Linked DNA regions of Caenorhabditis elegans. The protein of the gene in region 1 interacts with the protein of each later gene in a pairwise test. Each region holds a gene or a part of one and is shown in the gene's direction. Other genes may lie near its edges.

Region 1 (4,582 bases):
TGATATTAAAGTATTTTCAAAATTGCCGAGACACATTTTTTTGTGATTTTCGCGCCAAAAATACGGTAACTGTTCTCAACACAAACATTTTCGTTGAATGCAAAAAGGTAAAGAGTACTGTAATTTCGACTTACCGTATTTTTGGCGCAAAAATCGCAAAATTTTGGTAACATAAAAAAATTCCAAATCTTACCGCCAACTAAAAGCTTTGCATTATCTGGAATATCCTTCACGGCTTCTTCGGCAGAGTTAAAGACTTTTGCTTTCATCGAGGATGTCATTGAGATTAGCCTCATTTGATGAGCATTTCTCGGAGTTTTTCTCAAGATTCCAGCTGCTGGAGCCGCCCATATTTTTGAGAGAATCGGCATTTTATCTGAATGAAAATTTTTTTAATTTTGGAAAAAGAAACAATATATTTAGGATTATAAGATGGAAAAACCAGAAAGTCAAATTTGTGGAACAAGGAATCGGTATTAAGTAGAAAAGATTATAATTGTGTGTTGATACTCGATAACAATTTCCGTGTTGCGTATTTGATTTCTTATCAATATTATTTACAATAAAGTAGCGGAAACGTACAAATAAAACGTTTTAGTGATGGGAACGTCTCATTTACTGAAAATAATAAAACCCGGTATCGACACGACAATTTTTTATTTATTACGGTACCAAGTACGCATTCTCATGATTTATTGTTCCCGTAATAACGCGAAGAGGAGTGCGCTTTTAAAATGTACGGTAATTTCAAACTATCGTTTCTGTATGATTTTCATAGATTTTTTCACAGTTTTTCAATTATCTCAAGTATTTCAAAATATTATCAAGAAAACTAAAACAAAACAATAAAAACAGTTAAAGTTTAATGCGAGAAAAAATATAAAAATTTTGCTGCAACGAAATTTTAAAACTACAGTACTCTTTAAAGGTACACATATTTTTTCAATTAACAAACTTTGCAGTGTCGAGACCGGGTTCTGTATTTTTAGTACAAAAGTTGCAAAAATAACGCGTCTGGGTAAAATTTTCAATGTTAATTCCGATGGGGCTCTAGAAAAATCATGATAAATTCACTGAACTAATAAAAATTTAGAAAACTGTTATAAAATCTTAATTTTTAGAGGTAGAATTGTCTAAAGCAAAAAAAAAACTAAAAACCATCAGTAGCCAATAGTCTGAGCGAGTGTGTCACAACTTGAGTACACAAAAACGTTTCTTTTTCGCATTTTTTGTCTACTTTTTATAGAGACGCAGACAGAAAATCAGGGAAAATGAGAAGTGAAGTTAACTGAAGGTCTGGGAAACACGTGGTTGTGAGACTGGCGAAAAGTTTTGAGAAGAAAAATTCGGGTGATATTTGGGAGGAGTTCTGCCTTGAGAAGTTTGATGTTTGAAGTGTGATCTGTGATAAGGATGGGAGGGCAACAGAGACAGGTGGCCAGGACACAAGTGTGCTACTGACGTTAGCTTCTTTTTAAATAAAATTTTCAAATGTAGTTTACTGTCATTTTAGCGAATTGTACAATTAAAAAAATATATATAAATCCGTACATAGTTACGAATAAGAGCAATTTTAATAAAACATATGTTTTTTTTAAATTTTTATTCAAGATTTAAAAGATAACTTAACAAAATCTGCGGTACATAAACCAACAAATAGGAATGACGGCTAATGCACCGGAAACGTATAAAAGTTTCGAAAATTTGGATATAATTGGGGTCTCATCTTGCGCTTCTTGTGTAATCTGGTCCTGAAGATCCTCCACGTCGATCAGCATGATTTTAACAGTTGACCGGAACGCTCGGATCATTTGAAGAAGATTCTTCACATTTTGAGAATCATCAAAGCCCAAATCACGACGTTGTTGAGGAGAATATTCATCAAGGAGCTGTCTTAAAATTGACAATTGATGAAAAGTTTGATTTCCAAGACCGACCCGCAATGAATAAGTTGTCGCTTCATTTTGTGTACTCCCATTTCGGATTTTGTGAGGACGTCGTGGAGACGAATGACGCATACTGACTTTTCTCTGGAAAAAGGCAAATTTAATTCTTTATAAAATGTATACTTTTAAAAAACGCACAGGTTGTTTTCAGGGCAAGCTAGGCTGTTGAAAACTGTACTGGCATCCCAATCCAGAACTTCCGACTCTCCAGCTTCTCCAAACGCTGTTTCTTTTGAAAGTACAACTGGACTTTCTCCCAGAAATGAGCCAACAAACTCGGATTCGAACTTCCTTGGAACCTCTTCCTTTTTGATGATTTTTGGAGTTTCTTCTTCGACTATCAAGAATTCTTTTACATGGATCTGAGGTGATCTGTAAAAGTTAATATTAGAATTATTATTAGTTATTAAAATAAAACAAACCTTAGCTCAAATCCTTGAAATTCTGAATCAGAATCGTCAAAATCTGACATTTTTCAGAAAAGAGTGTTGTAAAACAAAAGAAATTTAAAAAAACTGCGAAACTGTGTATTTTTGCGTCATCGTGTTTGAACTATTTGTGCGCGCGCGTTTAAAAAAAAACAAAAACAATTATTTTCGACCTACTTATTTTATTGATCTGCCTCTATTTTACCGATGAAAGTGTATCAGTCGAAAATTAAAATTATGCGCGGGAAAATTCTGATTTTTTCATTTAAATTTTCGCTTGTCATTCATTCCACAGACCCATTTTTTCTCCCTCTCACCTATTTCACACACTAATTATGGAGCATTTTCATGGAAATCGCTGGGACCAGTTGCGTGCTGTGAGTTCTTGAATTAAAATTCGTTTACAATATTTATATTTTCAGGTAGAAGCTGATATTCTGTGTCCCCCGCCTGCAGATCCATTCCAAATCTTCCCCAGTGGATGGACCAGAGCCTCGGAGCTCAGCGAAAAGGGATGGAGAGAATTGTTTGTCCCAAAATGTTATATAATTGTTTCTATAATAAGATTATTCAGGCTTGACCGCAGAAGATCGCAAAGCCCGCCACCACGTGAACCATCACCAGACGTCAGAAGAGCGATCAGACGGACACCGCCGCCACGTGTCAACCGTGTGGCTCCGATTCGACTTCCAGAGCGGCGTCCATTGCGGCAATTGAACGCCAATGACGCCAGAAGACCAGCACAAGACGCTGCAAATCGCATAAATCAAGAGAATATGCGTGCAGGAAATATCGACAATGGGCAGCCACGTCGTCGAGCACTCTCCCCGACACAATTGCCAGGAGTTCGTGCGATTCCAAAGGACTTCAATCGCTTCTTCCGTGGTCTTCTGACACCTGGAGAGTTCTTTGCCAAGTGAGTTTGGATTTTCTAGCTGTTTTTAGGCTCAATTTAAATATTAAAATTTTCAGATCGCAAACCCGGTATCTTGGGCCATTCGACGAAATGCCAACGGAGGATACACTTCCAGCAGCCGACGAGTACATCATTCTGCAGCGAATGGGACGACTTCCGGATAGCGGTAAATCAATCTTCAGACAGGTCGGCAATCTGTCTACATGATTCCCAGGACTGAAATTGCTGCCCCTCAACGTTTTATCCACATTTTTCCAGTTGAGATCGCATTTTTATCTTTAAAAAATTTACTAAACCTTATTGTTGCCATGAGTCATAATTGTGATATACCTATAATTCCTTAATATAATCAATCTTCTTGAATCCACCCCACTCATTGATTAGTTGTGTGCAATAATAACTTTCGTTTAATGTTTGTAGTCTATTGGTATCGCTGTTTTAGCGTTTTTATGTTGTTTTATAATGAACCAACACCGTTTCCCCATTTATACTTGCGTAGGACAAAAATAAATCAATTGTCTATCAAACTCGGTTCCTTTCTTGTTTTTTTTTTGAAGAATTAAAAAGGTATCACTCCTGTTTCGAGACTATCTAGTGCGATGTAAATTTCGCTCTCAAAAAACCTACTAAATTAAAAAAAGTTTGCCGATAAAAGTATTATTTATTTTTAATTATTGAATTTTTAACACTCTTTGCAAAGTCTTGATGTTCTGTGAAACTTCAAATATTTATTTAAGCGAATCTGAATGCCCTTCTCCAAAAAATTGCATCCTATCAGTGTTAAATTTTGAATTCCCGCAAATTTGCCTACTGCGGGGTCGTAGAAATCCTCTTCCATGTGGCGTTAGTTCGGAGCATCGTTTGCAGTTTGTCATCAAAACTTTTTCGGATTTTTCTCAATTTCGTTATATTTTTTTGTTGATTAACTTTAATTAAAAGCTATTCTTCAGATAATGGCAGATGACGGTCTCGGTGACGTGCCAATGGAAACGGAAAGTGTGAGTTTTAGAATTTGCCGAATTGAAGTGGAATTTATTTTGCAGATGCCACAGTACACAATTTCCCATGTTATTGAAGCCCACAAATCCGACACAAAGGCTTTGGCAGTTACTCAAGGCGGATGCTTGATATCGGGTGGTCGTGATGAGACGGTTAAATTTTGGGCAAAAAAAGGAAAACAGTATACGAAAACGCACGCCTTTGAACAACCGAAAGGAATAACTGTGAACTCCATTGCATACGCTGAACTAGCGGACGGATGGAGACTTTTTGTTGGCCGAAGAGATGGAACA
Region 2 (4,456 bases), 6.7 Mb from region 1:
CATATTTTGCCAAATCAGCTTGACTACACAGTCGAAACATCTAAAGTGCGTGCTAGGAATTTTAGTAGGAACTTGTTAAAGAGAGTTTATCAAGTTTTGGCATTACCGAGAGCACCAGGAAGCTTGAAACAGACTTGAACATCAAAGATCGGAAGAATCAGAACCAGTCTGGAGATCCCACGAGAACATTTCGTATTAATTTTTTAAAGTCAAAACTGCTTATATGAACTCATTTCTAACTCAAACTTGATTTGAGCTTTGTCAAAAATTCCAAAATCTGTTGATTTTAGTAAAAATCGTGAAAAAAAACGGGGGGTCCTATAGAAGTTTCACACTGGATTTTGACGTTTTTTCCAGCGCGACCTCAGTTTTTGAGATAAACTTCTGGAAAAAAATTTATATAGGTTTTTTTCAATTTAAAAACGAACGGCATTAGCAGTTTTTCGAAAAAATTTTCGGAAGTTCCTCAAACCTTCAAATTAGGGGGGGTCCTATAGAACTTTCCCACACTGTATGATTATAAAAACAAAAAAAAATGAAGTTATAACCCCAATTTTAAACTGTAGTGTTTTGAAAATTTTTGGCAATTGGAATCTTCGGAAACTGCTGGTTTCAAAAAATATGGGAAATTTTTCAATTTTTTGTGAAGCTGCCAAAAACTTCAATTGCCGAAAAATTTCGACTGAGGTATTGCATTTTTTATTGGAAATTTTGAAATTTCAGTTGTAACTGCAAAATTACACGTATCTTACATGAAAAATGAGAAAAAATATATTAGAATTCTTGCTGAAAACGAGAAAAAATGTCAAAAATATGTGTCATCCGTTTTTTCTTATAAAAATTCCTTCAGAAATTTTGCACAATTTGCAAAAGCGGAAATCGGAAAGTTTTCTATACATGTCTTGAAAAAAACTCCACCGCCACTATTTCCTAAAATTTGTTAAAAATATAAAAATGGCTGTTAATTGCAAATCGATAGACTTACTGATAACAAAACTTCATCTCACTTTCTTCATTTCTCTTCCCCACAATTTTTTTAAAAACTCTCCAAAAAATGTGCGAAATTATTAAACTAGACGTTGGTGGAACTATATTCAAAACTTCAAAAGATACATTAACGAAACTCGATAGCTTTTTTAAAACTATGTTTGAAAGTGATATTGCGGTATAATGTTGCTGACTATATTTCTCCAAAAACCTGAACATTTTCAGCCGAAACTCGAAAAATCCGGATGCATTTTTATTGATCGTTCCCCGAAACACTTCGAGTTAATTCTGAACTTAATGAGAGATGGGAATCTGTGGTTGCCCGAAACTGAGAAGGAATTGAGAGAGTTGTGTGCGGAAGCAAATTACTATCAGATGTTTGGACTGTACAATAAGTGCGGTGTGAAACTTAGCACTATAATAAACTTCCGAATGATTCAAAATCAAAAACCAATAACTAAAAATAATAGTTATACTCGTTTTTTTGTTTTTTCATTAATTTTTTTGGTATTTGTGTATTACATCCCTGCACTAAAAAGCTATTTTATTGTTGAAAAATCTAGTAAATGCTACCTATTTTAGTGGCTATTAAACGCAATTTTCATTGTATTATGCTATCATAGAAATGTGAACAGACCCGAACGTAAACCTATTATAGTATGGAAAAAAATCAATTGAAAACACTGATAACTTCAAATCGATCGACTCACTGATAACAAACCTTCATTTCACTTTCCTCTTTTTCTCCTCTACAATTTTTTTCAAAAACTCTCCAAAAATGAGTGAAATTATTAAACTAGACGTTGGCGGAACTATATTCAAAACTTCAAAAGATACATTAACAAAGTTCCATAGCTTTTTCAAAACTATGTTGGAATGCAAAACTGGGGTATGAAAATCGTTGTTTTTTTCCAAAAAAAAACGTGAAAATTTCCAGCCGAAAATTGAAAAAACCGGATGCATTTTCATAGATCGGTCCCCGAAACACTTTGAATTGATTCTGAATTTAATGAGAGATGGTGATCTGCCACTGCCAGAAGATGAAAGAGAGCTGAGAGAATTGATGGCAGAAGCTCAATTCTACTGGTTGGATGGTCTAGTCTTAATGTGCTGTGATAAACTTAATTCTACAAAAAAGGTCCAAATTGATCAAAGAGCAAACACTAAAAAATATGATTTATCATGGTTTTTTGTTTTTTCAATAATTTTTTTGGTTTTAGTGTTTGTGTATTACATGCCTGCACTAAAAGGCTATTTTATTGTTGAAAAAAGAAATAAATGTTATCTTTTTTAGTTGTTGGAAATTTTAATTTTTGTTAAAAAAAATCATTTTGAAATATGTACTGATCGATAATCTTATAACTGATAACAAAATTTTACTCCATCTTTCTCTTTTTCTCCCCTAGAAAACTCTTCGAAAATGAGTGAAACTGTGAAATTGGACGTTGGTGGAACTATATTCAAAACTTCAAGATCTACATTAACAAAGTTCAATGGATTTTTCAAAACTATGTTGGAGAGTGACATTGGGGTCCGATTTTTCCAAAAATTTCCCGATAAATTTTCAAATTTTCAGCTAAAAATTGACGAATCTGGGAGTATTTTTATTGATCGGTCTCCGAAAAATTTCGACTTGATACTGAACTTTATGCGAGACGGCGACGTGGTTCTACCCAATTGTGAATTGAAACTGAAGGAGCTGCTAGTAGAAGCTCAATTCTATTTGCTCGACGGACTCATTGAGTTGTGCAATTCAAAGATTGAGCTTGTTGAAGCTCCAAAGATAAAACTTCGATTTATTGAAAGCGATGAACAATTTCTTCAAATTCTTGCTGTTCAACAGAAGGTGAGTTTCGATAAAATAATGTAGTTTTTCAAATTCATAGGAATATCTCAGTCGGTAGTGGTAGCTGCTAGAAAGCTAGAGGTTGCGGTTTCAAGTTTAGACTCATCCCCTAGGTTCACCCAGTCTGTATTGGAGAGTGGAGCAATCCATGACTGTATTATCGGCCACAGTCCCTGGCTAGGACGTGGCTTAAACTATAGGCCAGTGCAAGCTGTAGTCCTAATAGTAAGGCCACACTGTATGGCGTTTGTCAATCATAAAATAATTAACCAGTTTCTTCAAAAAATTTCAGCTCTACATATAATTTTTACAGCCAATGCTCATAATTGAATTTTGCATGGTTGGGAATGATATGTCGATTCCCTATAACTTTAATCTTTACGAGTTCATGGAAAAGTATTCACATCAGTTCGATATTTATTTTCGTAAGTTTTTTGTACATTATCCTCATAAAATAGTCAATTCAGAGCGATTGAGTGAAGACGAACCTTCTCGCAAATGGAAAGCAAGGATAAAATGGAAACCTACTGAGAATGGATATTACAGTCAATTTCCACACAATCTTCGAATTAATCGAGGTGGACGGATAATACGGGATGCAACATTTTTGGAACGATTGGAAAAAATGATCGGGGAGTTTGATGAGTATTTGAAGAAGCAGAGGAATAGATAATTAACTTATTTTATGGATTTTTCGACAATATTTCTAATTTAGAAGCTTAAAAAATTATAATTTAGTAAGCTTGTTTTTTTATCTTTAAACACAAAACACATGGATAAGTTCAAAGTCTGATTGATAACAAACATTCTTATTTTTATTTTTTGAGTTTGGTTGCATCTGTGCCTCAAACCGTAACTATTTTAAAATATGAACAAGGTTGTTAAACTAGACATCGGCGGAACTATTTTTAAAACTTCAAGACCGACATTAATAAAATGTGATGGATTATTCAAAACTATGTTTGAATGTGAAAGGGTCTGATTACCGTAATCGATTAAGAGCGATTGAGTGAAGACGAACCTTCTCGAAAATGGAAAGCTAGGATAAAGTGGAAATCTACCGAGAATGGATATTATAGTCAATTTCCGCACAATCTTCGAATTAATCGAGGCGGACGGATAATTCGGGATGCAACTTTTTTGGAAAAATTAGAAAAAATGATTGGGGAGTTTGGTCAATATTTGTATTTGGAGAAGCAGAGAAAGAGATAATTAACTCATTTTGTGGATTTTTTGACAATATTTTCAATTCAGAAGTTTTTTTTTATTTCTTAACATTTTTGATTTTTTTGTAAAAAAAAAAACAAAATTTCGCAACACTGATAATTCAAAATCGATCGGCTCACTGATAACACAATTTCACTCCGTTTTTCTCTCTTTTTCCTCTCAAAAACTTTTCAAAAATGAGTGAAACTGTTAAACTAGACGTTGGCGGAACTATTTTCAAAACTTCAAAAGATACATTAATGAAACTCGATAGCATTTTTAAAACTATGCTGGAATCTGGAACAGGGGTTTCATGATATTGATTTCTTACCTGATTTGAAAACTTGAAAATTTTCAGCTGGAACTTGACGAATCCGGATGCATTTTTATCGATCGCTCCCCGAAACATTTTAACAG

What was found. Proteins that work in one complex are often made in the same cells at the same time.
Region 2: the proteins of C05C10.5 (region 1) and ZC239.15 interact in a two-hybrid assay, tested with the Caenorhabditis elegans proteins (one large-scale study listed by BioGRID).

The regions. Positions count from the first base shown.
Region 1 is NC_003280.10:9,936,518-9,941,099, forward strand, and holds C05C10.5 (uncharacterized protein), read left to right. Parts: upstream 1-2,522; 5' UTR 2,523-2,709; coding exon 2,710-2,751; coding exon of another isoform or gene 2,752-2,755; intron 2,756-2,796; coding exon 2,797-2,900; intron 2,901-2,948; coding exon 2,949-3,290; intron 3,291-3,346; coding exon 3,347-3,497; 3' UTR 3,498-3,915; downstream 3,916-4,582. Other genes in the region: C05C10.3 (putative succinyl-CoA:3-ketoacid coenzyme A transferase, mitochondrial), read right to left, coding at 194-371; C05C10.7 (uncharacterized protein), read right to left, coding at 1,626-1,893, 1,938-2,030, 2,085-2,318, 2,369-2,418; ufd-3 (Ubiquitin fusion degradation protein 3 homolog), read left to right, coding at 4,244-4,288, 4,334-4,582.
Region 2 is NC_003280.10:3,222,595-3,227,050, reverse strand, and holds ZC239.15 (BTB domain-containing protein), read left to right. Parts: upstream 1-2,319; 5' UTR 2,320-2,407; coding exon 2,408-2,518; intron 2,519-2,563; coding exon 2,564-2,833; intron 2,834-3,146; coding exon 3,147-3,258; intron 3,259-3,300; coding exon 3,301-3,506; 3' UTR 3,507-3,718; downstream 3,719-4,456. Other genes in the region: ZC239.17 (Potassium channel tetramerization-type BTB domain-containing protein), read left to right, coding at 1,171-1,569; ZC239.16 (BTB domain-containing protein), read left to right, coding at 1,766-1,876, 1,925-2,281; ZC239.13 (BTB domain-containing protein), read left to right, coding at 4,237-4,347, 4,398-4,456.